Elephas maximus indicus: one gene and its partners. The protein of the gene in region 1 interacts with the protein of each later gene in a biochemical or structural test. Links are inferred from orthologs where the notes say so. Each region holds a gene or a part of one and is shown on either strand. Other genes may lie near its edges.

The links.
Region 2: the proteins of CFTR (region 1) and NHERF4 form a complex in vitro, tested with the Homo sapiens proteins (2 studies listed by BioGRID and IntAct, with this or other methods). The link is inferred for Elephas maximus indicus from reciprocal best matches to the Homo sapiens genes CFTR and NHERF4.
Region 3: the proteins of CFTR (region 1) and CASK interact in a test that uses a peptide from one of them, tested with the Homo sapiens proteins (2 studies listed by IntAct, with this or other methods). The link is inferred for Elephas maximus indicus from reciprocal best matches to the Homo sapiens genes CFTR and CASK.
Region 4: the proteins of CFTR (region 1) and NHERF1 form a complex in vitro, tested with the Homo sapiens proteins (9 studies listed by BioGRID and IntAct, with this or other methods). The link is inferred for Elephas maximus indicus from reciprocal best matches to the Homo sapiens genes CFTR and NHERF1.

The regions. Positions count from the first base shown.
Region 1 is NC_064826.1:32,185,258-32,192,110, forward strand, and holds the start of CFTR (cystic fibrosis transmembrane conductance regulator), read right to left. Parts: upstream 3,021-6,853; 5' UTR 3,009-3,020; coding exon 2,956-3,008; intron 1-2,955. UniProt on the Homo sapiens protein: Epithelial ion channel that plays an important role in the regulation of epithelial ion and water transport and fluid homeostasis. Mediates the transport of chloride ions across the cell membrane.
Region 2 is NC_064835.1:11,644,958-11,652,249, reverse strand, and holds the start of NHERF4 (Na(+)/H(+) exchange regulatory cofactor NHE-RF4), read right to left. Parts: upstream 3,009-7,292; 5' UTR 2,956-3,008; coding exon 2,940-2,955; intron 2,606-2,939; coding exon 2,497-2,605; intron 2,354-2,496; coding exon 2,280-2,353; intron 1,963-2,279; coding exon 1,751-1,962; intron 1,499-1,750; coding exon 1,309-1,498; intron 1,210-1,308; coding exon 1,073-1,209; intron 806-1,072; coding exon 601-805; intron 403-600; coding exon 206-402; intron 110-205; coding exon 1-109. Other genes in the region: NLRX1 (NLR family member X1), read right to left, coding at 4,038-4,359, 4,818-5,069, 5,885-5,971, 6,256-6,851.
Region 3 is NC_064846.1:132,417,565-132,424,519, reverse strand, and holds the start of CASK (peripheral plasma membrane protein CASK), read right to left. Parts: upstream 3,014-6,955; 5' UTR 2,989-3,013; coding exon 2,930-2,988; intron 1-2,929. UniProt on the Homo sapiens protein: Multidomain scaffolding Mg(2+)-independent protein kinase that catalyzes the phosphotransfer from ATP to proteins such as NRXN1, and plays a role in synaptic transmembrane protein anchoring and ion channel trafficking.
Region 4 is NC_064837.1:65,146,243-65,153,362, reverse strand, and holds the start of NHERF1 (Na(+)/H(+) exchange regulatory cofactor NHE-RF1), read right to left. Parts: upstream 3,005-7,120; 5' UTR 2,773-3,004; coding exon 2,332-2,772; intron 1-2,331. Other genes in the region: RAB37 (ras-related protein Rab-37), read right to left, coding at 6,515-6,550, 6,734-6,810, 6,891-7,074. UniProt on the Homo sapiens protein: Scaffold protein that connects plasma membrane proteins with members of the ezrin/moesin/radixin family and thereby helps to link them to the actin cytoskeleton and to regulate their surface expression. Necessary for recycling of internalized ADRB2.

The DNA of each region.
Region 1 (6,853 bases):
CTATTCCTTTTCCAGTAACAAAACCTAGACAATGAAAAAGATATTTAATATAATCCATAACCTGGAACATAACAGTTTTACTCTTATATTATTCTGAAACTGAAGGGATCATATTCAGAAAGCTAAATTCTAAGGCGTTTAACAACGTATGATACAAGCATATGACTTCTTTCTTATATTATCTGGTAAGGCTATACAAGATGAGATCTTACCCAAATTAAATTCTCATATAAAATAAAAAACCCATGGCCCCCGGACACCCTTTCAGCTCAGTAAGGAGGTCACTCCTGAGGTTCACCCTTCAGCCAAAGACTGAACAGGCCCATGGAACAAAACAAGACTAAAGGGGTGCACCAGCCCTGGGGCAGGGACTGGAAAGTAGGAGGGAACAGGAAAGCTGGTAATAGGGAACCCAGAGTTGAGGAGGGAGAGGGTTGACATGTCGTGGGTTTGTTAATCAATGTCATACGACAATGTGTGTACTAACTGTTTGATGGGAAACTAGTTTGTTCTGTAAACCTTCATAAGTTCAATACATATACATATATATAAACCAAAAACCCAAACCCGTTGCCAGCAAGTAGATTCCGACTCATAGCGAACCTATAGGACAAAGTAGAATGGCCCCATAGGGTTTCCAGGAGCAGCTGCTGAGTTCGAACTGCTGACCTTTTGGTTAGCAGCCTGAGCTCTTAACCACTATGCCACAAGGGCTCCATATTCTCACATATGCCCATTCATTTCATATACAGACAGATAGTCACAAAACTGTATTCAACAAAGATGAATTGAGCATCTCATATAAATAAGAGGTAATGGCAAAGAATTAAAAAAAAAACATGGTAAATAACAATAGCAGCTAATATTTACTGGGCTAAACATTCTACAAGCATTTTCTCAGCTAATTAACCCCTCTGACATAGGAACTATGAGTCTCCAAGTCTTAAAAGTCAAGTTACAGAAACTCGGAGATGTTAAACAACTTGTCTCAGGTCACAAAGCTGCTAAGCAGTAGTTCTGGGATATGAATCAAAACAGTCTGAATTCAAAGCTTCCTAACACTCTTGACAACTTAAGCAATGTTGCCTAACCCAGAAGGAAGTTTATAATCACTGGGGCTTTAGATGCTCTTCTGTTACTAATAATAGTAAGAACTTACCATAACTTTTACAGATAAGGCACCTTTTCCTAGAGCAACTTATTACGAAATAGTTTGGAGAACATGAGTAAGTATGCTCTTAACAATTTAAGCAGCCTTTGTAATACATTTCTTTCCATATCAAGCTGAGAGCATTTGTAATCTATACTAAAATTTATGAGATGATGAGCAAAAAGGAAAAAAAAAAACGACTTTGATAAATCAACAATTAGGTAATTTAGGGTTTCTTCATACTCAGTACTTGGAAGTACCTGTGAAATATTCACTCTTTTGAAAACTGCAGTTTTAGGCTGATTGGCACTTAGATTCTTCAAAATATTCTGCTAAAAAGTCTATATTTTGTGCTTATTAGCATTCTGATTTTGTAACAACAGCAACAAAAAACAAACCCTTTGCCGTCGAGTCAATTCCAACTCATAGCAACCCTATAGGACAGAGTAGAATTAACCCCATAGGGTTTTCAAGAAGTGGCTCGTGGATTCGAACTGTCAATCTTTTGGTTAGCAGTCAAATGCTTAACCACTGTGCCACCAAGACCCCGATTTTGTAAAGTAGTAGGAAGTTAGATCTATAGATAAGACTATTTTATTGATGGACTAACAACAGATGCTGTAAACATCAATACAAACGGTGATTCCAAAGAGCAAAGTCCTTCTCTCCCATCCACAGGGAGGAGCTCTCCTTCAGTGGCCACTGGCCTCTCTTTAGTACCTGAGTTCCAGGCTTCACTGCACATGAAGAGAATAAAACATTAGAGAGATGTGAAAAGCCAATCTCCTTCCCCACTCACACATATATGCACGTATTTATAATAAATTTCACTTTTCTGATACCTAAGTATGCTGATTCACTGGAGAATTATGAGTCAAGTTATATCCCACGAGAGAGCTGTATCTAAGTATTCAATCAAACAGGTGTACTAAAAGAAACTAAGTGGATTCAGTATTCAAAGAACACTTCAGATTTGAAATGCTACATCTAATTATGCTTTGCCTGAAACTCTGGAACTCTATTTTTAAAAATCTCATTAGCGGAAGTTTGCAAGCTTTTATGGCTCATTCCATGCAAAGAAGATGAAAGTACCATTTATTAAATGTTAGTTGGATATATCTTCAGTATCTATTCTCGTGGCTCCAGATCTGATAATTTTGACTCCGTTTTTTAATTTATAGCTACAGAATTAGCTTTCTTTTTAAGAAAAATATTTCAAAGGGTTTGCTTTCATTCTTAGAAGAAAGAATAATGGAATGGTAGCAAATACTTGTTATGAGATCTAGTCAACATCATAACAATGGAAAATTTACTGAAGCACATACTGCCACCACCATCCCAAAGAAAAAAATCAAAATTCAGACAACAAATGTTTTCTGAGCAACTACTACATGCAGGTAGGCGCTTGTAGTATATGTGCCAAGAAGATTAAGTTTTCAAAGCATGAAAGGGTTTGGAAAACAACGGACCAAACTTAAATATTTGTTAACTAACAACTTCATAATTTATAGTTTCTAGAAAATCATACAGAACAATTGCACAATAGCATATTTAGGTCTTGAGAGTCTGACTTTCAGTTACAAGTGGACTATAGCTCTCTAGCCAAACAATCCTCCGGTTCATTCCTTCACCGCTTGTTTTCTAATTCATTCCACAAGATCCACGTTTTCTTTCATGACAACGTGCTAGCGCATCTTTAGAAAAAAAAAAAAAAACTATTCCTCTTTCCCCAAAACCCAGCCCATACACACGCCCTCCTCTCACACGGGCACGTATCCTTCCAAAGCTCGGCGGCCACCCCTCACCTGAAGAAAAGTTTGGAGATGACGCTGGCCCTTTCCAAAGGCGACTTCTGCATGGTCCTGCGGGGCGCCAGGGTCCCTGACGAGGATGACTGGGCTGTAGCTCTTAATGGCCAAACTCGCCCTACTCTTCGCAGTGCCGGGCGCTCGCCCCTTTTTCTTTGACCTGCTGTGATGTCATTTGCTTCCAACTCCCCCGACCCACCCCCACTCCACACACCTCCCCTTTCCTTTGCTCCTTCCCCCTCCTCCATTGCCCAAGTTGAAAGACAAGCGCTGCCTGGTCCGGCTCCAAATTTGTTCAAGCTGCTTTCTCCACCTCCTGCGCACCCTCCGCGCGCAACCCGACCGCTCCTTCCTTTTCGCCTCCTTCCCTCCCTCGCTGCCCTGCGCCTCCCTTTCCCGGTTCTACGTGCCGGCCTCCCTCCCTCATGCGCGCTCCTCGCAGGTCCTAGTCCCGACAGTCCAGCCTTACCCACAGGTGCGCAACAGTCACGGCCGCTCTCCAGGTCCAGTCTCCGGCACTCGAGGACAGAGCAGCCACCGGCAGGAGGGGAACCGGCCCCGCGGGAAGCCTCCTGGACCGTCCTACGCGCCAGGTTCCGCCCGACCCTGGACCCTCCGCCGCCAACTTCCCCGCTCCTTCCTCCTCCTTTCTCCCGAGATCCTAGCCACCACGCTCGTGTTAAGTTTGCAAGGTGCATTTTGAAAAGAGCGGAAATGTGTCTCTCGTGTATCAAAATGCAGCCTTGGAGAGCCGGAAAGTTCCGCGGCTGCGTCTGCTGTGATCGTGTTCACCTTAGCTCTTCCTTTGGGTGTCAGAGGGAAGAGCCAAGCTTTGTTAGTTTCAGGTTTAGGTGCGCTCCAAGTGTGGCATAGACACCTTATGGGGGGAAAAAAACTTACAAGGAGGTAAGAGGGGATATTGCTTTACCCATTGCCCACCCAGGATTTGTTCACTGCCTGTCCTAAGTTTTTCAGTCCGGCTTGAGGTTTTAAGGAAGAATTTTGTGAGCATTCGCGACGACAGTGACAAGTGAACAGCGCGTAAACTAGCCCGCCCTCCTATGGATTTCCTAGTCTCAGTCAGCAAAACATCTTGACTAAACCACTGAAAAGAATCCCGTCTTTGAAGCAAAGGTACCGAGTTAACTTTGACCGGACGCGTAGAAACGCCATCTTCAGCACTCCGAGGGCATCTAGGCTTTCCCGCGCGTGGGCACATCGGAGTTTTTGGTGTGTGGATTGTGTGCAGGTCTGATAGTTTTTAAGGAGCCAGGAATTTAATTCCTGAACTCTGTTGTGTAGAAGCATTTGCACATTGAGTTTGAATTGAAAAATTCAAATGAAAGCAAAAATTTCAGTCCGATTACGTTATTGGCTTCACATCAAAGGCAAGGGTGTTTACTTGTGTGTACCTTGTTGTTGACTCGTGGTCAACCAAATAAAGTACAAATAAAATGTGCATTTCATGAAGACAGGGCTATATGTTTGAATTAAGGAATGTATTCCACTGGTTTTTATGGTTCTGCTTTGCATTTCAATGCCACCTTTTTTTCTATCTTAATTTTTAAAACATTGACATTTTATTATTCTAAATTTAAATGCAAAGAAAATAAAAACCAAAGAGTTAAATCAAATTGCATAATGTTCTATAACAGCAAAAAACTTCAGCATTCCTAACTCATGATCCCTTGCTTCAATTCCTGTTTCTGTGACATAAAAGTCAAGGTTCTGTCTTTACTGTTGACTTTTCCCAGGTATGTCGATTGAACGCACTCCATGCACTTCCCCACCCCCACCCTGTTGTTTGCTTTCTAAGGGCTAGTGTGACCGATCAAATTAATACACACATTTTTAAATGAATTGGTAATCAGCTCCTCTTTGTTATCAAACAGTAAGTGACAAAAAACGGGATTAAGTTGCAAAGGACATCATAGAAGCTGACCAAGTCATTTGGCTCCAGGAGAACCCAAATATTTGTCAGTCTCTTTCCCCTGGAAAGAATAAACAAAATAATGACCAATTCTGGAGTTCTTACTATTTGCCAGGAATCATTGCACATAAATAGTACAACCTCCATGTTAGTTGGTGTTATTATCCCATTCTTCAGTTGAGGAAACAGACACGTGAGGTTAAGCAAAATGCCTAAAATAGTAAAGCTCAGATTCAAACCCAGGTCTAACTCTAAATCATCACTTGTACAGGTGTGTACCATTGCTTCTTATTAAACCATCCTTCATGTATTTATATACTGTCATTTACACACCAACTCAGTCTTTCTCCTCACATTAAATGGGAAAAAAAAAAAATACCAAACATGTTGCTGTCAAGTCAATTCCTACTCATGGCAACCCCATGTGTTACAGAGTAGAACTGCTCTGTAGGGTTTTCTTCATTGTCATCTTTATGGAAGCAGGTCACCAGGCCTTTCTTCTGGATGGATTTGAACCAACAACCTTTAGATTGGCAAACCATTTCTGCCACCCAGGGACTTTGTTTCATGAAATCAGAACAGCTAGTCCTGTTTAAGAATGAAACAGGAAACCAGAAAGCTAAGAACCAAGTAGTTACTGAAGATATATATATTTTAATAACTAATGTTTAATAGTAATATTACATTTTAAGTGTATGCATACATGCATGACTAGGAAGATCCAGGGATCTTATTGTAAAGGATTACAGCCAAATACCAGCTCACAGCATTTTCTAACAATATTATACTAGTTAACATTTGTTGAGCACTTAACATATACATATCAGGTTCTGTGCCAAATACACAGCAAGCTTTACTTTGTTTAATCCTTGTAACACCTTCACAGGACAGGTACTTCCTTCATTATCCGTGTACTGCAGACTAATAAACTGAGGTACAAAAATTTAGTAATTTACCCAAGCCATTTGCGCAATAAATAATTACAGAGGTAACTGGGATTTGAACCTAAACAATCTGTTACACCTTACATGTCAAAGCATTTAACCGCTACTGCACTGGGGTTTTTTTTGGGTTTGGGTCCCTACAGAGGAAGCCCTGGTGGTGTAGTGGTTAAAAGCTACAGCTGCTAAAAGCAGTTCAAATCCCCCAGGCACTCCTTGGAAACCCTATGGGGCAGTTCTACCCTGTGCTATAGGGTCACTATGAGTTGGAATCGAGTTGACGGCAATGGGTTTGGTTGGGGTTTGCCCCGACAGAATATCCTGATATTTTAAGGAGAAATGACCTTAAATATAGATTAGGTTGTCATTTGTGTGGCATAATTTTAAAAGTATATTAAAAAGAAGGAGGAGGGGGAGGAGGAGAAGAAATGAAAGAAGCCAATATTTATATTTATTGAGTACTTTATCAGTCAGAGAGCCCTGGTGGTGCAGTGGTCAAGAGCTACAGAGAGCTAGGGCTGCTAAACAAAATGTCGGCAGTTTGAATCCACTAGCTGCTCCTTGGAAACCCTGTGGTGCAGTTCTACTCTGTACTATAGGGTCACTATGAGTCGGAAGCGACATGACGGCAGTGGGTTTTTGGTTTACAGACTAGCCACATTGGCACATAAAACTAACCATCACAAATACCTACTATGTATTCAATAATGTACCAGGTACTTGCTACAAATTATCTCAACATATGTAAAGTTTATAGGAGATAACCTTTATAAGAGATAATTAGGTCACTCATTCTGCCAGGTGATGGCTGAAGTTTCACTATTGGAGAGCCTGACAGTGAGCGTTGACAATACTTATCTATCATGTTCAATTTAATTGGAGTGATATTCCTCCTTCAGAGTGGGCTTTAATAGTGATAAGTGGGTAGCCATCTTGAGTACACTAAAAAATAGAAAAGTGGAAGAAGGATGATTTTTCCACTGATCTCTTACATCATATTACCCTGATCAAATGCTTGCACCAT
Region 2 (7,292 bases), on another chromosome or scaffold:
TGTCTTCAGCTGGTGGGTCCCTGGCCTCAACCAAGGGCACTGAGAGGGTGTCCTGGGGAGAGGCAAGAGCCTCTGTGGTCTCCAAAAAGAGGAGTGGGGACAGGCGGACCTGGAAGGAGGCAGACAGAACAAACCTGCTTTTCTCCCTCTACCTGCACCCTGCTCCACTCCCACCCCCACCCAGCCCTTGCCCCTCAGCTCGCACCATACTGAAGAAGCGGTCAGCCTCAGGGTCAACAACAACGAGAGAGACGCAGGAGCCCTGTGCCCGGATCCTGGACACTATTTCCTCATGGCCCAGCCCCTCCACGCTCTCCCCAGCCACAGCCACCAGCCGGTCCCCAGCTTGCATCCCCGCCTTCTCAGCTGGGAATCCTGGGTCCACCTCCCGCAGGAACTGCCCTGGGACAGAGACATCCATTGTCACTGCTCCTCCCCTATCATCCCCATGTGCACACCAGGGGACTGGCTCAGGGCGTACACAGGAGGAGGCCCAGGGCTAGGCTCAGAGAGGGATCTCTTATGTACACTGAGACCGGGACACTTGTGTGCCTAGCCCAAGGCCTACCTTCCTTACCCACCCCCAGGGCTCCCACTCACCGAGGCGACCACCGAGGCCCTTCTCCTCACGAAGAAGGAACCCAAAGCCCTGGGGCCCTTTCTCTAGGTGTAGACAACGGGGTCTGGTTGGCAGTGCCCAGCCCTCTGCCAGGGGTGCAGCCAGGGGCATTCCAAGCTGGCGACACTGTTCCTCCACCGCTGGCCCTGCCACCAGCAAGGTCACCTGCTTTCCACTTTGCTGAAGCTGTGGGGACCCAGCAGAGCATCAGCACCAACCACCTGGGTAGGGAGGGAAGAGGCCGGCCCCTCCTCACAGCCCCTCCTCCCAGGCACAGGACTGAGGCACCAAGGGGAGGCAGTAAGGACCGTGCCACCAAACTGTCAAGGGAAGGATGGAGATGAAGGCACAAGATCAGAGCAGACATGAGGTACAGGGGCAGGGGTGGGGGGGGGGTCTGCTGGCCCTAGGACCAGATGGGTGGAGGGTGAGTGGGGAAAAAGGCAGCCATACCTTCTTGCTGAGTTGTTTATGAGTGAACTTCTCCACATTGACCCCATTCACTTCTAGCAGTCGGGCCCCAGGGGGCACCCCTGCCTGCTCAGCTGCTCCCCCAGTGCTCAGCACCAACCAGAAAGGACCCTGCTCTCCTGGAAGAAGAAAAAAAGCAAGCTTCAGTCTCCTGCCTGCTCAGAGCAGGGGCTGAGAGCTCCCCTCTCCTGACCTCCCCACCAAACGTCTAAGCTCACCATGGGTGATGCTGAAGCCAAAGCCACCCTTGTCTTTCACTATGTGGCACAGCCGGGGCCTGACCCCAGGGCCTAGGGTAGGACAGACTTGAGCATCGTTGCCGTGCTGAGCTCTGGCCACATCATGCACGTGCCGCGCCAAAACCATCAGCAGCACCCGGGGACCGCTAGCCCGGATACGGCGCACCACCTGAACACAGGGCAAGTGGAAGGGGTTGGGGCTGACCCTTCATGCCAGCTCCCCTCCCTGGCACCTGCATTTTTCACCAGAAGAACCAGCTCTCTGAATGCCTTCACCACACCCTTCCCTTTCAACCTGGGCACCCCTGAATCCTGGGGGTGAGGCTGGGCCCTTCCCCACAGTGCCCCAGGAGGTAGCAGATTCTCTGTCCCTGGGGTCCTGTGGAAGACTGTACCACAGAGAGTTCCAGCCCAACCTCACCTCTGCGTAGCCTTCATGTTCCACGACATGGCTGTTCACCCCCAGGATCCGGTCTCCTTCTTGAAGACCCTGACGCTGTGCAGAGCTGCCTGGCTCCACCCTGCACACCACATGCCCTGCTCCTCCCAGCTCCTGCTGCAGGTGGAAGCCAAAACTCCTGCCCTCCTCTTTGCTCAGCAGACAGAAGTGAGGCCGCTGCAGGCTCCAGGGATCTGGTGGAGAAGTCACGCAGCAGAAAAGGGAGGAGAGAAGGTGTGGCCCAAGGACAGGTCACTGTGTGCCAGGCAGACCCTGCCCCCTTTATAGGGCACCAGGCAGGCTTCCACCCTGTAAGGTGCTGGGTGTGGGCAATGTGGCTGGGACAGAAGGAAACTGCCTAGTCCCCTCCTACCTCCATATAATAACTCTTGGCCAAGGCTGCTATCAGAGGGAGACAGAAGTAAGTGGTTACCACGGGGATGGGAAGCTGGGTGGCACTATGGTGCCTCCCGGAGGAAAGGAAATAGCTGCCAGGGGGTGAGGGGGTTACCAGAGAAGTCGTGGTCTTCAGCCAGGGAGAGGACAGGATTATCAATCCCCAGCTTTGGGTTAAACTCAAACTTCCTGCAAGGAGGCAAGAGGCAGGGCAGAGAAAGCTTAACATCTGGACTTGGCTCCCAGTTTCAACTTGAAGTGCTAATGGCAGCTGGGAACTTCCTCACCTTCTATCCCCTCCTCCCCTTGCCCCAACCCTTCGTGACACTTACAGAATTAATGAGTTTGTGTCCTGAAGATCGGGGGGCGAGACGTGGTGAGCAGAGGACAGGCACATTCTTCCCTCCAGACTCCTCTCCCCATGGTCAGAAACTGAAAGGACTTAGGGGAACCCCCGAACTCAGGACTTGCCCCTCAGCTCTGCTGCAAAGGGGTCTTCCCTTCCCACTGATGTCATATACCAAAGATATTTCGCATTCCCATCCCTCCTCCCCCAAGTCCTCGGCACAGAAATCTAAGCATATCAGTGCAGGGCGTGGACCAGGAAAACAAATCACCTCACCTCTCCTCCCCTAACTCCAGTCTATTTGCCTCAGGGCTCCCAGCCCCAACATCCAGTGGTGCCCTGGTCCCAGAGCCTCAGCCTCCATGTCTGCCCCAGCTGCCCCAAAGTCACCCCCACCCAAAAATCTTTCTCTCAGCCTCCTCCTCCTACCTGCGGCTGCCTCCATAGCTGGATCAGCGATCCAGGGCTCAGGGTAGGGACAAGGTCCATCGCAACCAGCTGACCCTCCCTCCTACCCCAGGTCCCGCCTCCTTGAAGATGCTGCCATGGAAGCAAAGGGGTAATGGTTAACATGGATAAAAGTCTTATCCTCTGGGGAAGTGGGCGTGTTCCTCCTGCCCCCATTCCTGAGTCCCAACTTCTTCTGGGGCCCCATGCTGCTGTCCAGCACCCGCTATGTACAGAGAAAGGCAGATGGTTGGTCACTGCAATTCCAAGCCCGGGGCGGGGGGGGGGAATATGAAAAAGGGGATAAAATTCTACAGCCCAGCATGACCTACCCCCCTCCCAATATCTTGTTCATGGGCTTCTCCCAGCCCCCACAACCTCTGAGCCTGGTGTAAAACAAAGTGGTCAGTAGTCTCACTAGAATTATCAAGAAGAGCAGCACCCAAGGAAGAGGAGGCATGGAAGACACACAGCTTTTTAATGGTAGCAAGTCAGGGCACCTGCCCCAGGGGCCACCGAGCCATAGGTACCATTTTGGTAAAGGGGGTACAAGGGTGAGGAGAAAGCACCAATGTGAGAAGAGAGTGACTGCAGGCATTCCTGGTGTCCACAGATGGGTTATGAAGGTAGGAGGTGGAGGCTGGGTCTGGATGGATGGAAGTTTAGACCCTCCAATGCATCTTCCGGATGGCAGCGCCCGTGGCATGATGGACATAAGACGTATGCCACCTTGGTGGCATAACCAAAGGGTCCTTGGGAGAGGCAAGGTTGGGGATGGTACTACAGGGCAATGTGGCCATGAAAATGTCACATCCTTCACCCCTTTTAGTAGAAGGGAGAGGAGGCATGTTCCTTCTACAAGCCCAGAACACCGACTCCCCACCTTTGACCCTGGAGATTGCAGGCTTGGGGGCACTGGTTGGACATGTCCTAGGACCGCAGCTGGCACAGCTGTGCCCATTCTTTTGCTTCCAGCCCTTGGAGAGGTCTTTCTAGAAGAAGTCGTACAAGCTAGGAGGCCGCAAAGGAAACGGTTTTGGGGGCCAGTGGTTACACAGCTAGGTGCCTGCAGCCACTTTCTCAGCTTCCAGAGGCCCCCAGCTGCTCCAGAAGGGCTTTGACCTCGCCCTCCACACGCAGCATCTGGGCCTTGCGCCAGGGATTAAGGGTGGCACCCCGGCTATCTTCCAGATCCCGCAGCAGTAGCTCAAGGTGGCGCCGGACCCGAGCCCGATCCCAGCTGTTGAGGTTCCGCTGGACTTCACTGAGGATCACTGACCAGTACTCGGACACTGCTGTCCCCTCTGTCAGCGATGCCACGACTCGGGCACCACCTTCAGCTGTGCCCCTCAAGTCTCGCAGAACCTGGCGGCCTTCTGAGCTCAGTTCATTGAAGTAGAGGCTGGTATGAGAGAGAAGATAGAAGCCAGTCAGCGGGGCTCTGAGAAGGAGGGGACAGAGGGTAGATGGCAAGAAAATCAGGTGGTCTCACTGGTTGTGGAGTGCAATGGGGCAAGTGTCTGCAATAAGCCAGAGATAGAGAGGGTGGCCAAAGGGAGGCAGGGACTGACATGAGAACCCCACAAGACCAGGGACGGTAGGAATGGGGCCACCAGGACCACAGGAGAAATGTGCTAGGGAATCAGGACAGGGTAAGGTCCAGTCACTGAGCAGCTAGGGTTGGCTCAGAACCAGGATGACAAGGATCAGTCAGAAGCCAGAAAGAGAGGATAGGCATCAGGCCTAGGACCAGAGCGCCCCCTAGGGGAGGAAAAGCACAGTGGCAAGAGGGAAGTAGGACTGAGGAGTGGGAGGCCAGGCTGAGGGTGGGGATGAGTCAGAACCAGGGGGAGGACTCACTGCAGCAGCTCCAGGGAAGGGTGCTCCCGGGCAGCCTTGGCCAGAGCCAGGGCTGCTGTGTCGCCAGCGCCATTGTAGGCCACGTTAAGCTCCTGCAGCTGCTGGTTGCGGTCCAGCTGAGAAGCCAGCAGCTCCAGGCCCTCGTCCCCAAGATTGGTGTGCAGCAGGGACAGGTGTGTCAGCGAGGTGTTTCCCGCCAGCCCCTCCATCAGCAGTGCTGCACCTGCCACCGTCAGTGGGTTGTTGGACAGCCTATGGCCACAATCAACCACAATCAACAAAGGTTATGAGGACCCACTGCAGGTCCCTCCTCTGCATTTTAGGACTTGCACCAAAGGGGTGTACAGCCTGGGGCCGAGATGAGCCTAGACCCCAAAAAATGCAGCCCCCAGGAGAAGAGGAGGCAGAAACAGGGGTGTGGTACATGGTGGAGGAGGGAGACTGGGGTAAAAGCTGACTTCTCCTTCCTCTTCTCCTCCTTCACCTTGTTATCCTTTTCTCCCTGATTCCCTTCTTCCCTCTCCCCTTCCTCCTCTTCTTTACTCTTTCCCTTCTTCCTTTTTCACCCCCCTACTCCGCCCCTGCTTCTCCCTTCCCTCTAGCTCTCACATCCTTCTCTCCTTCCCTCCTTTCTCACTCCTCCTTCACATCCCCCTGCTCTAACCAGAAATCGGGAACCCGGGAGTCTTAATATTTGGGAGTCTTAGTTCCTGGTAAATCAATCAACACTTTGGGAGCGTCCACTGAGTGCCCAGCGTTAGGGTTATCCTTGTGAGGCTGCAGGGAACATCCTAGCACTGTTACCATGCAGCCTGCCTGGATATTATTCCACCCCCTCGTTCACGGCCCCCTCCCCCTACACAGGCTAATTTTAGCCATGTGAGAGGCTTTCTAAGCACCATTTACTGGTGGCATCTCCCCCCTGCCCTGCTGCTTGTACTGGACCTGGGGGTAGGTCAGAGCCTGAGTCCTACAGCCTTTACCACACTGTGGGTGGGGCTGTGCCAAGTACATACGAGGCAGGGATTTCACCCTTGACCTTAGATGCCCCTTCCCGAGGCACTCACCGCAGAGTGGTAATTTGGCACTGGTCATGCAGCAGTAGGTCTCGGAGGTTTCTGCAGGCCTCGGGGCCCAGGCTGTTGAGTTGCAAGCTGGAAAAGGAGAAAGTGGCCAGAGGGAGGGGAAGAACAAGGAAAAGAGACCAAGGCAGGAATTCAGCATGGTACCTGCTTTCTCACCACACTGCCTCTAGCAGTCCACACCTGCTCTCCCTTCTGCCGTTGGTTCCATCACCTCCACCCACACCAAACTTCCTCATCCCACCTGCTGGGGCTCCCTTAGGACCTCTGGTCCGCCTACCCTCTTCTTTCCCATCTCTTTGTCTCCACCCCTCTCTTCTCCTCATGCCTGTGCCCAGGGGCAGAATGGTCCTCACCCCAGCTTCCGGGCACGCAGCAAGACAGGCATGAGTGTGCACAGCCCAGCAGCCTCCAGCTGGCAGGAAGCCAAGTTCACCTCATCCAGGGCATGCTTCCCACTGCCTAGTACAGCTGCCACCACGGTGCACTTGAGGGGCGTCATGCGCACACCAGCCAAGTTGAGCTGGCGCAGAGAGCTGAGCACCTCGGCAGAGAAGCGCTGATTCTGGAACTCATAGTGGAAGAAGAGGTAGTCAAGAAGTTCGGATGGGGGCAGCACCTGGCGGCCCCGTGTGCCCAGCTTCTTCTTGATGGCCCGGGCATTCTCCAGGACATCGAGGTTTTTGATGGGGCAGCCAAGCTGAGCCAGCACAGCCCGGTTGTGGGCAGAGAGAAGCCCTCCCACGAACATGGGGAAAAGCTCAAAGACTTCATCCTCTGGGGGCTCATCTGGGTGGCGCCGGGGGCCCTCCACACCCAAGATGCTGGCACCCATCTGGTCCAGAACGTCGTCGTTGTAGTAGTCCTCCTCCCGGAACATTTCCAGAACCATGGCCTGGGCCACCGCCTCCTGGCTCTTACCCACCACGCTCCCAAACATTCGTGGAACCACCTGGGAAAGGAAGCAAGGGAGAAACACTGGAGCCTCCTGCATCCCTTCAGGAGCACAGCCCAGGCCTGTTCAGTCTCCGAGGCAGGCTCAGCTTAAGTTCCTCCCCTGACTGCTCCAGCCTAGTGATTTCCTCTCAAACTTGCAGCACGTTGTATCTGATCACACCACTCCCCTGTGACAACACCTCCCATGGCTCCCCAGTGCCCGTGTGGCAAACTCTAAACTCCCTGGCCTGGAATATAAAACTTTTCATAATCTGGCCCTAGTTGGATCTTTCCCAGGTCACCTCTCAACACTTGTCTCATGCACTCCAGACACTGGAACTTCTTTTTCTCTAACACCCCATACAATTTCAGCCCAGGGGAAGGATTTAGCATATACTAAAAATTTAGTTTGGTACTGGGCTAGGTGTTATAAATATGTCACCATCATTGCCACTGA
Region 3 (6,955 bases), on another chromosome or scaffold:
TAAAGGGCCTAAATTAGACTAGAGCTTTCATTTACTGCTACCAAGTAAGGTCTAATGCATAGTACGTAGGTGGGTGGGTGAGTAAGCAGGTGAGTGAGTGGGTGGTCAATTGGTCTTGAGAAGTAAAATCTATTTTAAAGTACTTTAAGGAAAATCTAAACCTATTAAGACCATAATAGTCAAAAACAACTCGTGATATTAATTTGGTATAAAAGAAAAAGAAAATTCCATAGAATTTAGATAGACATTAACAAAAGGGTTTTCGGTACAAGTGACCATCTTCAAGTCTTTCTGCTTAAATCCAGAGTTGAACAAATTCCAAGATAAAATAATATGCTGTCAAGGGTTCCTGAAAGAAAATCTCAAATGAATTTCAGTTCCCAGATCAATATATATGCTGAGACAATTTACCGGAGAAACCTTCAACCTTTACACAGGCTGACGAACACTATCATTACATTCTTTACCACTAGGGCTACCTTGAATTCATTAATTCATGGAATGGCATATTATAAATGGCACTGACCAAGTCAGATCGTGTACAATATGACGGAGATCTCACAGTTCAACAGCATTTAAGGTAACCACAGAGTACCTATCACCTCAACCTTTGCGTGCCTTCCCTCCGCATGCAGCTCTGCAACAGAAGAGATGGCTTTAGCTCTTTCAGGAGTGTTTCCTAAAAATATTCAATTACAAGTCAGCAGAATACTGACTGTGTTAATGTAAAGCTGACCGCCTCTTTTAGAGATGAAAAGATATCTCATCATTACTCTTCAAAACCTTAACTAATCAGAACTAGTTTTCAAAACTGATTAAAAGACGGTTATTTCCAGTCAACACAATATAAAATTTCAATCTCACATTTTCCAATTATGACTTTGCTGGCTCATTTACATCAGCTATAACTAAGACACAACAAACATCATTCACCTACACACAGAGTCATTTTGGGGCTTTTGGGAAACACCTAATTTACCTTCACTGGGCACTCCTAAAAATGAAAAAACAAAAAACCAATGAGATTTTGTATATATTTGTCTCTGTAGAACTGTGATACTCACATGTGGTTTTTAAGCATTTGACATGCAGCTAGCCTGGCTGAGGAAATGAATTTTGAATTCTACTTACTTTTAATTAATTTAAATTTAGAAACAGATACTCAATTCAGTTACCAGAAAACTTTTAGGTGTGTTTGGAACAACTTGGGTATATAAATCGGCTTTTTCAAATATAAATTTTAAGAAACCTACATATTCTGATCGAATATTTCTGATGAAAATTTAGCTTAGCATCACAAATGAGGTGTGCTGTTGATGTACAATATACATTGGATCTCAAAGACTCAGTATGAAATAAAGGATGCAAAACATATCATAATTTTTATGTCGGTTATATGTTGAAACAATAATATTTTGGACTAATTGCAAAAATTAATTTCCCCTGTTTGTTGTTGCTTTTTTAAAATGTGGCCACTAGAAAATTTAAAATGACAAGTGTGGCTCACATTATCTATCTTTTGAGCAGAGCTGCTTCAGAGCACTTCCACCACCACTTTACCAAGACACATTTGGATACCCTTCTAGCAGACGGGCTGATCATGTAACAATAGGGGCAAGGAGTAACATGTTCTCATATCAATCCGGTCTGAGTAAAGTGTGTAGCAAGCTCTGTTCACAATTTCACCATCTGAGGCAACACTGTAATGCCTCAATATGGAAGATAAAAAACGAGTTTTCAGCGCTTAAATTGAAATTGAGTACTGCAGGCAACTTAAAAGACAAGGAGTCAATTGCTCTAAGGTCTTGGCTTCAATTCCCAACTGCAGACCTTAAAATAGACAATAAAGCACCCCCTCCAGTAAATAAATAGATAAAATATTTCAGTGGTAGCTATCTTGCAACCCCTATTAAATAAGCGGAAATTACTCTTAAATCTCATCTCCGCAACTTCTAAAGCCACAGAATACACACTGAACTAGGAAATCAACTTCAAATTGCCAGCATTTCCCTCACAGGCAAATTAGCAGGATTGTGCACTTGGAATATTGTTTGACAAGAATGAAAAGGAAACTATTCAAAACAGATTTAAGGAATGGACAATTAGATGAGGAACTGCAGATTTAATTCTCAATCAGCACTGTGATTAATCTGATTCCCTGCCTTTCCCTAGTGTAATTATACAACACAGATAAAAGGATGAGCATTTGGACTGTCAGTTCTATATTCTAGTCCAGCCCGGTGACTCAAAGCAGACAGCTCTACCACGCCAACCACCATCCCAACAACAGTCGAGGGGAGCCTCGAAGACTGATTTTACAGTCATTGCATAACGAGGCGTTAAAAATTTGAATGCCCCCAACTCTCTCCATGTCTGTGTACAACAAGGTGAGGAATCTGTTGAAACTGAACGCACCCCGTCCGAAAGGACCCCCTCCAATCCGGGCATGGGGTGAACACAAAGGCATCTAATATCCTGCACAATAGGCACACACCCCACAATTTAAAATCCTGGACGCTCTTTCTCTTTCCACGCAAGCAAAAGAAATGCAAACTGCTCTTTTCGCTAATGGTCTGAGCCACATTCAAGGTAACAAAAACCTCAACTGTTCCCAAAAAGCAACTATAAAATCGGTTCTGCCACGTCCCTGTGCAGCCGTCAGAAAAAAATGCAGGCAGCAGATTTCAGCCGGCCCCACGCCTCATGGGGTGGCCGACATCGGCTCGTCTGCCTCAACAGATCGCTGAGAACCCCAGAGCCCCGCCGGGCAGGAGGTCCAGGTCCACGTCTATAAATACTTGAGGGTGAGGAGAACGCGGGAGGTGCAGGGGAGGGAGGGTAGGGGGCAGGCCCCGAGAGGGTGCGGAAGGACCCGGGCATCACTGAAATGCATTTTTCCACACTCCCGCTCCCTCGCGTAGAGACTCACTTGCCGATCACCTCGCACAGCTCGTACACATCCTCGAACAGCACGTCGTCGTCGGCCATGGTCCGGAGGGGACAGTGGCCGCAGCGTGGAGGACTCCGAAAACGGGGGTGGGGGCGCCAAAGAGCTCAGTGCCCGGCCCCGGACTCGCCTCCTCCCCTCAGGACCCGCGAGCCCTCGGTGCTGAGGACGCTCGAATCCGGCCGCTTCGGCTGCGAGGCCCGCAGACTGCAGCTCTTGCTCCGCGGGCGACCGCCCCGGCGCGGGCGGCGGGGCCGGGGCGCTGAGCGAGGGCGGCCCGGGCCCGGCGCCGCCCGCCCGCCCGCTGCTCCTCGCGCTGCTCGGGCCGCGCTGCCCGGTGTGCGGATCCTCGGGGACCGCGCGGCGCCGCGCTCCCTGTTAGTCAGCCCGTGCGGGCCGCGAGGCCGCGGCCGTTCCCTCTGCCCGGGGCCGGCTGCGGTGCGGCGTGGGGCAGCTCGGACTACAAGGGGGGCCGCGGCAGGACCATGGAGGGAGGATCGCCGCGGAAGGAGGTGGCAGCGGATCCGCGCTGGGGACCAGAAGGCGGTGGCAAAGACGCTCCCTCCTCCTTCTCCTCCTCCCGCCGCCGCCGCCGCCCGCCCGGGAGTGGGAGGGGGCTTCGCGGGACTGGCGCTCTGTGCGGGCGGGAGTCGTGGTCACCGCCTTCTGCTCCTCCTCCTCCTCCTCCTCCTCCTCCTCAGCCTCAGCCGCAGATCGGCCGGCGAGCCCCGCGCACCCGCTTCGCGCACACACGTCCCCCTCCCACTTCGGCCGAGCGGCTTCCAGAAGCACAGGCCCCGCCCACTCCAGCCCGAGGGGAGGTGGCGACCGAGGGAAGGGACCCAGGTTGGCCGGCGCATGCGCGCGCCGCCGGGACACGTCACGGCGAACGATCGGGCGCCGGGAATCTAGAGAGGGTGGGGGATGGCCCTAGGGGCGAGCGGGCGGCAGCTGCCGAGTTGGGGCCTGATCGGGGTCGTCACCTCCCGCCCTCCCGCGGGATGGGCCGGAGACAAAAGGCCCCCGATCGCACGCATGTACTCGGCTGTCTGCGGCGAGAGGTGCGGAACCCCAGCCACCCTCCTCCTTCTTTTGTAACTGCAGGAAGCCTTTCCCAGATTTCGCTGGGCAAGTAGGCACGGAAAGATTCCTAATGAATGGGAAGGGAAGAAGAGAGGTGGAGAGGTTGTCACTCAAAACTGTGCTAGGCGGCGGATGGTTTTAGTGCCACCCTGTCATTCCTTAATGAAGATGAGGGCTGGGGGAGGGGGGTCTTCCACCTACAAGAAGTGGACCGAACAAAAACTGTCCAGGAATGTGTGCAACAACAAAGAGTAATTTGTAGAATCAGCTCTCCCGCGTTCTGCCCCAAACTCAACAAAATCTGTTCAGCGCCTACCACACTAGAGACAGCCTAAATAGAGGTCAAGGACTTTAAGCCCCTTTGCATATCTTCCCCCCAAACTCCCAGCGCCTACACTGCTCCCTATAATCCCTGCAAATGTTAGACAATTCAGGATAAAAATGTAACTAGCGGGAGTGGATGCACACGGTCAGCCAGGGAGTGAGGTTCTGGGTGTTGCCGTTGTGCTAGATTCCGTTCAATATGAAGATTTCTATTCAACTGAGCATGTGCGGAATGAGCAAAAGCCATCAGACAGGTACATGCCTCAGTTACAGACTAATAAAAAAAAGTCTTTTGTTCCTCCGCACAGCAGAAGCTCTCAATTAGTTCTTAAGTCAGGTTCCAAAAATCATCTGGTAAGATTCTCAGTGCGGTAATAAAAATAAAACGATGGTATTTCCCAAAGGGGTGGGGTACTATGCAGACCCTCAGCCTTTTTTCTCTTCAGAAGTGTTTTGTTCCAACCCTTGGCCACTCCCTCAAGACGCTGGGGGATTCGCCAGCGTTAAGGATCTAGGTACTAAACCTTTTTTTTTTTTTTTTAATGCAGATCGCAGGAAAAATATAACTGTACAAGAAGGCTTTTCTCCTTTCCCAAAGAGCTTGCGCATTGTCTAGGGAAAAAGGCTGCAGTGCCTGAGAAGCCTTGCCTCCAATGAGGGTCCGACAGTTCTAAATCACTCACACCAAGTTGACTTGTCTGCCCACCACCTAAGGAATAAGGAGCCGTTCCATTCCGCCCTGAAGTGCACAGAGACCCTAACGCGTCACATTATTAGCTTCACTTCCCTTCTCCAGCCCAGGCCTGAGCTATGCCAAGCCTCATCGAGTTCATTTTAGTGTTTGTTATCTTCCACAGAGACCTATGCTCAGAGGGAGAAATGGACAATCGTAAGATAAAACAGAAAAGAATGTGGATGTAAACGAAAACAAAAAGTGACTGCAGAGGTAGATATGCTTTCTGCTCATGGAGCCCTGGTAACACAAAGGTTAAGCACTTGGTTAGCACTGAAAGGTGGGCGCTTGGAACCCACCAGCAGCTCCGCGGGATTAAAGACCTGGTGATTTCCTCCTGATCTGCTCTCGTAAAGATTAACCCCAACCAAAGCTACTGCCACAGAGTCCGTTCCGACTCATAGCGACCCCATAGGATTTCTAAGGCTTTAAATCTCTATGGAAGCTGACTGCCACGTCTTTCTCCCAAGGAGCCTGATGGTTTCCAACCTCTGACTCTTAGGTTAGCTGTGATCTTTTTCACCAAGCGCCACCAGGGCTCCTTCCGTGAACATTACAGCCTAGAAAACCCTATGGGGCAGGTCTACTCTGTGCTATGAGGTCGCCATGAGTCCTCGATTGCTGCTGACAGCCATCTGTACCCATGAGGGGAGGCAGACCTAAGATGAAGGTGGAACTGAGGGCAGCAGGGTGGAAATGGAGAGAAATGGTGTCGTTAATGACATGTCAATCTCCTTGTCCAGCCAACCCTCTAGACTTTCCAGTTATATAAGGCAATGAATTCCCTTATTATTTAAGCCATTTTGAGGTGAATTTTCTGTCACTTTCAAAAGAACCCGTTGCTGTTGAATCGATTCTGACTCATAGTGACCCTATAGGACAGAGTAGAACTGCCGCATAGGGTCTCCAAGGCTATAGTCTTTACAGAAGCAGACTGCCACATCTTTCTCCTGCTGAGCAGCTAGTAGCTTTGACCTGCCGACCTTTTGGTTAGCAGCAGCTCAGTGCTTAACCACTGCATCTGGTACAACCCATGAGAAAAAAAAATTCACAGACAAACATATGTCCATGGCCACATATTTAGCTAATCTGAACCTAGGTCTCCCAGTGCCCAGTGTAGTATTTAGACATACAGAAGAATTTCTCTGCAATGCACATCCCTCATAATTTGTATCATGTGGCTCAGCGGTGAAGCGCTTGGCCGCTAACTGAAAGGTCAGTGGTTGGAAGCCACCAGCCACTCCACAGGAGAAAGATGGGGCAGTCTGCTTCTGTAAAGATTCCAAATCAAGAAACCAAACTTGTTGCCTGCCATCAAGTCAATTCTGACTCATGGTACCCTATAGGACAGAGTAGAACTGTCCCACAGGGTTTCTAAGGCTGTAAATCTTTATGGAAGCAGACTACCCCATCTTTCTCCCATGGAGCGGCTGGTGGGCTTGTACTGCTGACCTTTTGGTTAGCAGGCGAGTGCTTAACCACTGTGCCTTAGAAACCCTATGGGGGCAGTTCTACTCTGTCCTGTAGGATCCCTATGAGTCAGAATTCACTCCAGCACGATGGGTTTTTATTATGGCTAGAAACAAGCTTGGGTGGTGCAAGTGGTTTGCAACCATCTGCAAAAACCTAAACGGTTTGCAGTTTGAACCCAGCCCCTGGCTCCACAGAGGAGAGGCCTGGCAAACTGCTTCCATAAAGATTACTGCCCAAAAAAACCCCTATGGAGCAGTTCTACTCTGTCACATGAGGTTGCCAATGAGTCAAAATCAACTAGATAGCAATGGTTTTGCTTTTTTTGCATTATGGTAAGGCGGTTTCTTTCTGTTTCTAGAACTAAAATAGCAAAACCTTTTAAATGAAGTTAATTC
Region 4 (7,120 bases), on another chromosome or scaffold:
GCACCCACCTCACCCTCTGCTTTGTATTCTTGACCCCGGATGGCCTTCCCAGTGAGATGCCACCCATGCCCACCACTCTCTGCAGGCACTTTACCACTTAGACCTTTTTCACTTATGAGAACTAATGAAGATAATGTAACAGCCCTATTATGCAAACAAATTCAGGCTGAAACTAATTAGTAAAACTCAATTAGATGCTGCATATAGGAAAGGGATGCCTTTTAGGAAAAGAAAAATAATAACAACGCTTACAGTGTTTATTAACATTTTCTGCAACAACAGGATGAGTTCCTGTCTCTCACCCTACCAGATGATGGGCATTGTTTACTTGAGGGACTTAACAGTGCTGACTGGCCAGGTGGAAGGAGTTGGTGGCATAGAGCTGTGATTGGAATGCCTGGGCATAAAGGAGCTCAATTCAGCAATGAGTAAAATCCTACAGAAGGAATGCTTCGTGGAGTCCCATTTTACAGATGGGAAAACCAAGGCCCAGAGAGGTCCTGTAATTTGCTCGTTGACCTGAAACCCTAAGAGCCCTCGTGGTGGTGTCCCCAGGACTCTCTGGAGGTGGTTCTGCTTCCTTCTTCCAACCTAGCAAAGCACAAACAATTGTAGGCTGCCCAAGTGGCACGTGGCCATCGGGGGAATCCGATTCTGTGCTCACCCAGAGAACAGCCCAGCGAGCAGGAAGCCCACACGCTGCCTTTTCAGATAGCTGTGCGCGCGGGTGTTACGTCAAGCCTTCACGCACCCAGCAGCAAAACAAAAAGGGCAAAGGGAGAGCCGAACGTGACTGAAACTTAGGGGATGGGCATTTGTGTGGGTGCCCAAGTCCAAAAAAAAAAAAAAAAAGGGAATGGCAAATCAATGTCTCAGCACGAAGTTCAAGTTGGATTATTCTGTCTGGGATCAGAGGTCATCAGTTCCAACTCCCCAGTGTCAACCCCCTGCTGGGGTGCTCCTGCCCCTCCCCCTGCCCCTTATCAATGCCAGTTTGGAACAGGCAGGAAGTGGTAGCCTGGTGGCCCTCGCATTCCCAGTACCCAGCTCCGGCCGCACAGGGCTCCCGGTTACCTCAGGTCTTTCACTTGCACCAAACCCGTAGGCCCTCTCAAGGGCTCCACCTTCCACCTCTGTGCTGAAGTGTGTCCCTTCTCGGTCCGGAAGGCTCCTACTGGCACTGTGGACATGTCGGCCACTTACTGCCACCAGGAAAAGCTAAACAGGCTCTGGGGAAGCCCAGCCCTGGCCCCCACAGTCTGCACCCAGGGGCCTCCCTCTTCACTCTCTGGGGACAGGAGGCTCAGAACAACAACTTCTGTTTTGCCAGCTGCCCCTCCTGCAGCTGATCCAAATGGGATGAACCAAAGCGCCACTGGCCAGCTCGCTGTCCGGAGACGTGGAGGCCATGCCTACCTGCCCACGGTGCTCAGCGAGCCACTTCCTGGCCCTGTGCCACGGGCCGCCATCCCCAGCCCTCCAGCCATCTTTCTCCTCCCCCTTCAAGTCCTCCTTCCCGCTCCCTGATACAAGCTAGCGCTTACTCCTCACATTCCTGAGAAACATAAATCCTCCTGGGTGGCAGAGCCACCACCCCCGAGACGCCTCCGCGCCTCCTCCTCGCACCCCACCCCCACACACAGCCCTGGGACGTGGGGCTTCCCACCTCCTTCTTAGAAGTCACAGCGGACTTCAGGAGGAGGATGAAGTTCAGCGGGGCTTGGTTAATGATACACACACCAGCGGGCTGGGGGGAGGGGGTGCAGGAGACTCCTCTTAGCCACCCCTCCCCCGCCCAGGCCCGGGGCTGCATCTCCGCACTGAAGGGGACTGTTACTTCTCTGGCTTTTGGAAGTCGCCGCTCTCACCGTTACCCCAGCTTCAGTTCCCACCCACAGGGGCCGTGGAGGAAGCTGGCCCTTCTGGGGCAATAGAACACTCTCCCCCGCCCAACTGCGCGCTGGGGGTGGGGTGGCCGAGGAGAGGGCCCTGGGAGGGTCCTGCGGAGGGCGGGGATCCCCCACAACTAACTGGAACGAGAGCAGACTCGCCTGCGCTCCCTCCCCCACTGCACCCCCAAAAGTCGAAGGACAAGAGGTGCACAAAGCAAAGGCGCTCAGGGGCCCGGCCCAGTCTGGGGAGAGGGCTGGGGATAGCGGGAGGCTGCCTCCAAGCCTGCTCAGGAACTGCAAGCGCCGGGGTGGCGGGCGGAAGCAGTCCTCCCCTCTCCGCTCGAGTTTCAGAAAGACAAGGGAGGGCGGGGGCTGGGCGTCCGGGTCTCCCCAGCGGCTCCCCGTCCCAGACGCGCCGCCCGCCGGGTCCCGCACCTACCTGCTCCGCGTGGCTCTTCTCGGCCTCGCGCAGCTCGCTCTCGCCGCCATCCCGCTGCGCCGCGGTGGCGGCCGGCGGCTCGGCCGGCCCGGACCCCTCCTGGGCGCGCAGCAGCTCCTCGCGCACCGGGACGCCCAGCTTCTGTAGCTGCTCGTCCGTGGCGGGGTCGACCACCAGCAGGCGCACGGCGTTGAGCGCGGCGCGGATGCGGCTCACCACCTGTTGGTGGGTCTCTTTCTCCACGTTCTCGCCGTTCACCTCCACCAGCCGGTCCCCGGCCAGCAGCCCCGACTTCTCGGCGGGCGAGCCGGGCTCCACCAGCCGGATGAACTGGCCCGCCTTGCCCTTCTCCCCGTGCAGATGGAAGCCATAACCGTTCGGGCCCTTCTCCAGGCAGCAGAGCCGGGGCAGGGGCGCCCCGGTCGCCGCGGCCGAGCTCATGTTGCCCCGGCAACGGCTCAACGACGCCACGCGGGGTCCTGTCGAGGCTGAAAACTGCACGGCCAGCCCTTCTCCCGCCCTGAGAAGCCGGGAGCCTGGCGGGAATCCCAGCACCCAGACGGGTGGAGCTGACAGGTGTTCCGGCGGCGACGGCGGCGGCGGGCGCGCACTGCCAAAAACTGGGGAAGCTGACAGACCAATCCCTCCCTGCTCGGCGTCTGCGCGTTCGAGGACCGGCCCAGGCCCCTTATCCTGGGGGCCGGGCCGCGCCGCGGGAGTGGGCCGCCGCAGACCAATCAGAGACCACCGGAGGCTGTGTTCGGGCCGGGTGAACTCCGCAGGCCAATCGGAGCGTGTGGGGCGTGGCCTGCGCTAGGCGCAGCGCCCCGCGGCGGGCGAAGAAAGAGGCTCAGGAAGTAGAAGTGTTTGTTACCAAGTGGCCCGAGTCGCGGAGCAGGGCGGGGACCTGACGAGTTTGGGTACTGGGCGGAGGGGCCCCGCAGGCTCTGTTTCGGTTTCCCTCACCTGTGGCGGGAGTTGAGGAGACTCAGCTCTCGGGGGAAAGACTCTATAGCTCGAAGTCCGTGTGCGGCTGTTTTGAGTGAACCGCTGTTGCCGGGGAAACAGTTCCTGCTCCCGGGCAGCGAAGTTCCAGCGGCCTAACTTATAAGACCGGCGTCCAGCTCTGAATAACGTCTTCCTGTCTGTGGAGTCACTTTCCTTTGCTCCAGGACATGCTTATAGGGGTGCTGGCTCTGATCCCTGCGGGGAAGGCGTGAGGCTCTGTGCAACCCACTGAAGACAGGCCACTGCGGGCAACGGCGCAGCGGTTGGGTAGGGAAGCGGGGTGGGGAGAGGCAGAATAGACTCAGGTAACCAACCTCTGGGTACTCTCCACGGAGGAGAAGGCCCTGGCTATTTTCAACAGAGAAATGATGAACTGTTAGGACTATGACATAAGCCTTCTTCCAGCTTCCTCCTGCCAGATAAGGGCTGGTCAAAGGCTCTGTTAAGGGTGAGCTGGCCAATTGGGGAAATCGAAGGGTGAGGGGAAATCAAATGATTTTGGACCCCCAGTGAGGGTCCCTGTGTGGCGCCAATGGTTTGCTCTGGGCTAACCTAAAGGTTGGTGGTTTGAACCCACCCAGGGGTACCTCAGAAGACAGGCCTAGAGACCTGCTTCAGTAAAGATTGTTGTGTGCCTTAGAGTTGATTCTGACTCATAACAACCCTACAGGACAAAGTAGAACTGCCTCATAGAGTTTCCTAGGCTGTAATCTTTACTGGACGGGGCCCTGGTGGTACAGTGATTAAGAGCTTGGCTGCTGTCTTAGTTATCTAGTGCTGCTATAACAAATACCACAAATGGATGGCTTTAACAAAGAGAAGTTTATTCTCTCACAGTCCAGTAGTAGAATTCTGAATCCAGGGGGCCGGCTCCAGGGGAAGGCTTTTTCTCTCTGTTGGCTCTGGAGGAAGGTCCCTGTCATCAGTTTTCTCCTGGTCTGGGAGCATCTAAGCGTAGGAACCTCAGGTCAAAGGACTCAGTCTGCTCCCGGCGCTGCTTTCTTGGTAGTATAAGGTTCCCATGTCTCTCTGCTTGCTTCTCTCTTTTATGTCTCAAAAGAGGTTGGCTCAGGACACAATCTAATCTTGTAGATCTCATCATATAACTCATTATATCATAGTGATAGAATTTACAACACACAGTAAAATCACATCAGATAACAAAATGGTAGATAATCATATAATACTGGGAATTATGACCTAGCCAAGTTTTCAGATATTTTTGGGTGACAATTCAATCCATGATAGCTGCTAACCTAAAGGTCGCCAGTTCTAGTCCCCCAGCTGCTCCTTGGAAACCCTATGGGGCAGTTCTGCTCTGTTCTATAGGGTCACTACGAGTTGGAATTGACTTGAGGGCAACAGGTTTGGTTTCCAATCTTTACCGGAGCGGATCGCCAGGTCTTTTCTCCTGTCAAGTGGCTGGTGGGTTCAAACCACTAACCTTTTGGTTAACAGCTTAGCACTTAACCATTGCTCCACCAGGGTTCTACTCTGTAACACATGAGGTCACCATGAGTTGGAATAGACTCCACGTCAATGGGTTTGTTTGTTTTGACAGTTCTTCCAGCTTGCAATAACAGTCCCTTCTATGTGATCCCCCAGTCCAAGGTACATCTCAAAGAAGCAGTGGGCAGGGTGAACTTTCCAAAATACTGCAATTTAATTCTGAAAAACTCAAATGCTAGAGACCCAAAGCAGCCCACGTGAGTGATTGGATGGCCTGTGACCAGCCTGCAGCCCCAGAGCCTAGCAAGGTCAGGCTCCTCCCTGCTCTGGCTGGGAGAGGCCACCAAGAGCTTCCTTATCAGGCCCAAGTGGGAGCCGCTGACTCTGCTCAGAGAGCAAAATTTCTGCCTTTAAAGCAAATGCAGTTGCCTCCTAAACGTGCAGGACATTTCTCTTCCTCAACCCTCCCCAGGCTGCGGAGCTGGGGTAAAGGTGCCTCTTCTGTCCACTTCCAGCTGCTGGGCTGGGGCTTTGGGAGACGTGTGACCTTGGCCCCACAGAAACTCCTTGCTGACCCTCATCTCCACCCCAGATGTAGCCACATGACCTTATTTTGCACATGTTGTACTAGTTTACCTGACTCAGTAGGAGGGAGGTGAGGCAGTTTTGGCTCTGGTGTCTGAGAAGAAAAGGGCCTGGGGGTTGAGGGGTCAGGAAGGAGGCAGAGCTTGGGTTTAGGGAGATACAGGTGGGGAGAGGGTCTCTCGGCTATGCCTCCCACCTACTACGGGAGCTGGGGGTTTCTCTTTATGCAGATCTTAATCCAGGAGAAGCACTAGAGCTGCTTGAAAAGCGGCCTGCGGGGTTGCTTACTGCCAAGGGCTTGGGACAAAAAGAAAACCTTTTCCCTAGCTCTGATCTTAGGTGTCTAGGGGCTCAGGTAGAAAGGTCGATAAGATCAGGGGTTCAGGGAGGAGGGGCTTTCCCAGGATCTGAGGTCCAGAGAAGAGGAACCAAATGTTCCCAGGTGTTCCCATGTGCTTGTATGCTGGAGGAAAAGGGCCATGTCTCCAGAAGGGCAGTTGGTAAGGTCTGAAGGTAGCCAAACAGGCCCTAGTCTCTGTTGCTCCTGTTTCCCCTCCCTGAGGCTCCCAGCACAAGGTCCCATCTTATTGGGGAAGATTGTTCCCCTGGGAGCTGGAAGAAATGAGGGCTGGGGTCTGCTCAGCCTCTTTCCAGCTAAAGTAATAACAGGGACACTACCAGCCCTCAGGCCCCAGGGAATCGGGCAGAAGTGCACCAGTGCCCCCTGGTGCTGGCTGGAGCAATGCTTTCCTTGTGGCCAGAAGGCAGGCCCAGCCACACAGGAAGTCCTAATACTAAAAGATAACAGGGCCACCAGGTCCCTGCCCATCTTCCGGGGAACCTGGTGCCCTTTTTTGGTATTAAAATGAAATGTAAATAGTTTACCCTCCTCCAGATGCAGGGAAGCTACAGTAACTAGGGTAGGAGCTGGAGGACAGCTCCCTCTTGGAAGGGGCTGTGCACCAGGTCCCCAGCTCTCCCCCCATTGGCTCAGCCACTTGGGAATAGACTGGGTGGGGGAGATGGCTGTATCATCTGGGTCTCTGGAGCCTCCGCCCAGCCCCTTGGCCATCACACGAAGGAGCAGCAACTGGATCGTTTCTTCTGGGACTCCACATAGTCTCGGATCTGGAAGCTGGGCTCACCGGCCTGCTGCCTGGCCCTGTATTTCAGCTCCCTTGAATTGGAAGAAGCAGTGGTCTGAGCTGGGAGTGAGGAACAAAGCATCCTCCCCACTCCCACAGCCCTGACCAAATGGACTGAAGATGCAGAATGCAGAGGGGATCCTGGGCTGGGCCCTATGGGGTTCCCAGATGGTGCCGCCCTGCCTGTGAAGCTCCCTTCCTGGCTCAGGGCTCACTTGGCAATGGCCAGAAAGGCTAGCTCCACGTTCATGCCTGTTTTGGCGCTGGTCTCCATGAAGGGAACTCCATACTCCTGCCAGGAAGAGCCTGTTCTCAGGGCCAGTTGCCTCTGGCTTCCCCACCCCTCATCCCGCCCCACAGACAGTCACTTACCCTGGCCAGGGTCTCCCCGTCCTCTGAACGGATCTCCCTTTCGCTGCTCACATCCGCCTGGAAGCTTGGATGGGTTACTTTGGGGAAGGAAGGCTTGCCCCCAACTGGCCCTTCTCCTGCCCCAGCCGGCCCATCTTTCACCCCAGGAGTGGGTGCTGCCCACCCTTTGTGGTGGCCTGTAGGACTGAGAAGAGGCAGCCGCAGAGTCTGGGTGGGCAGGTGGGTGTGAA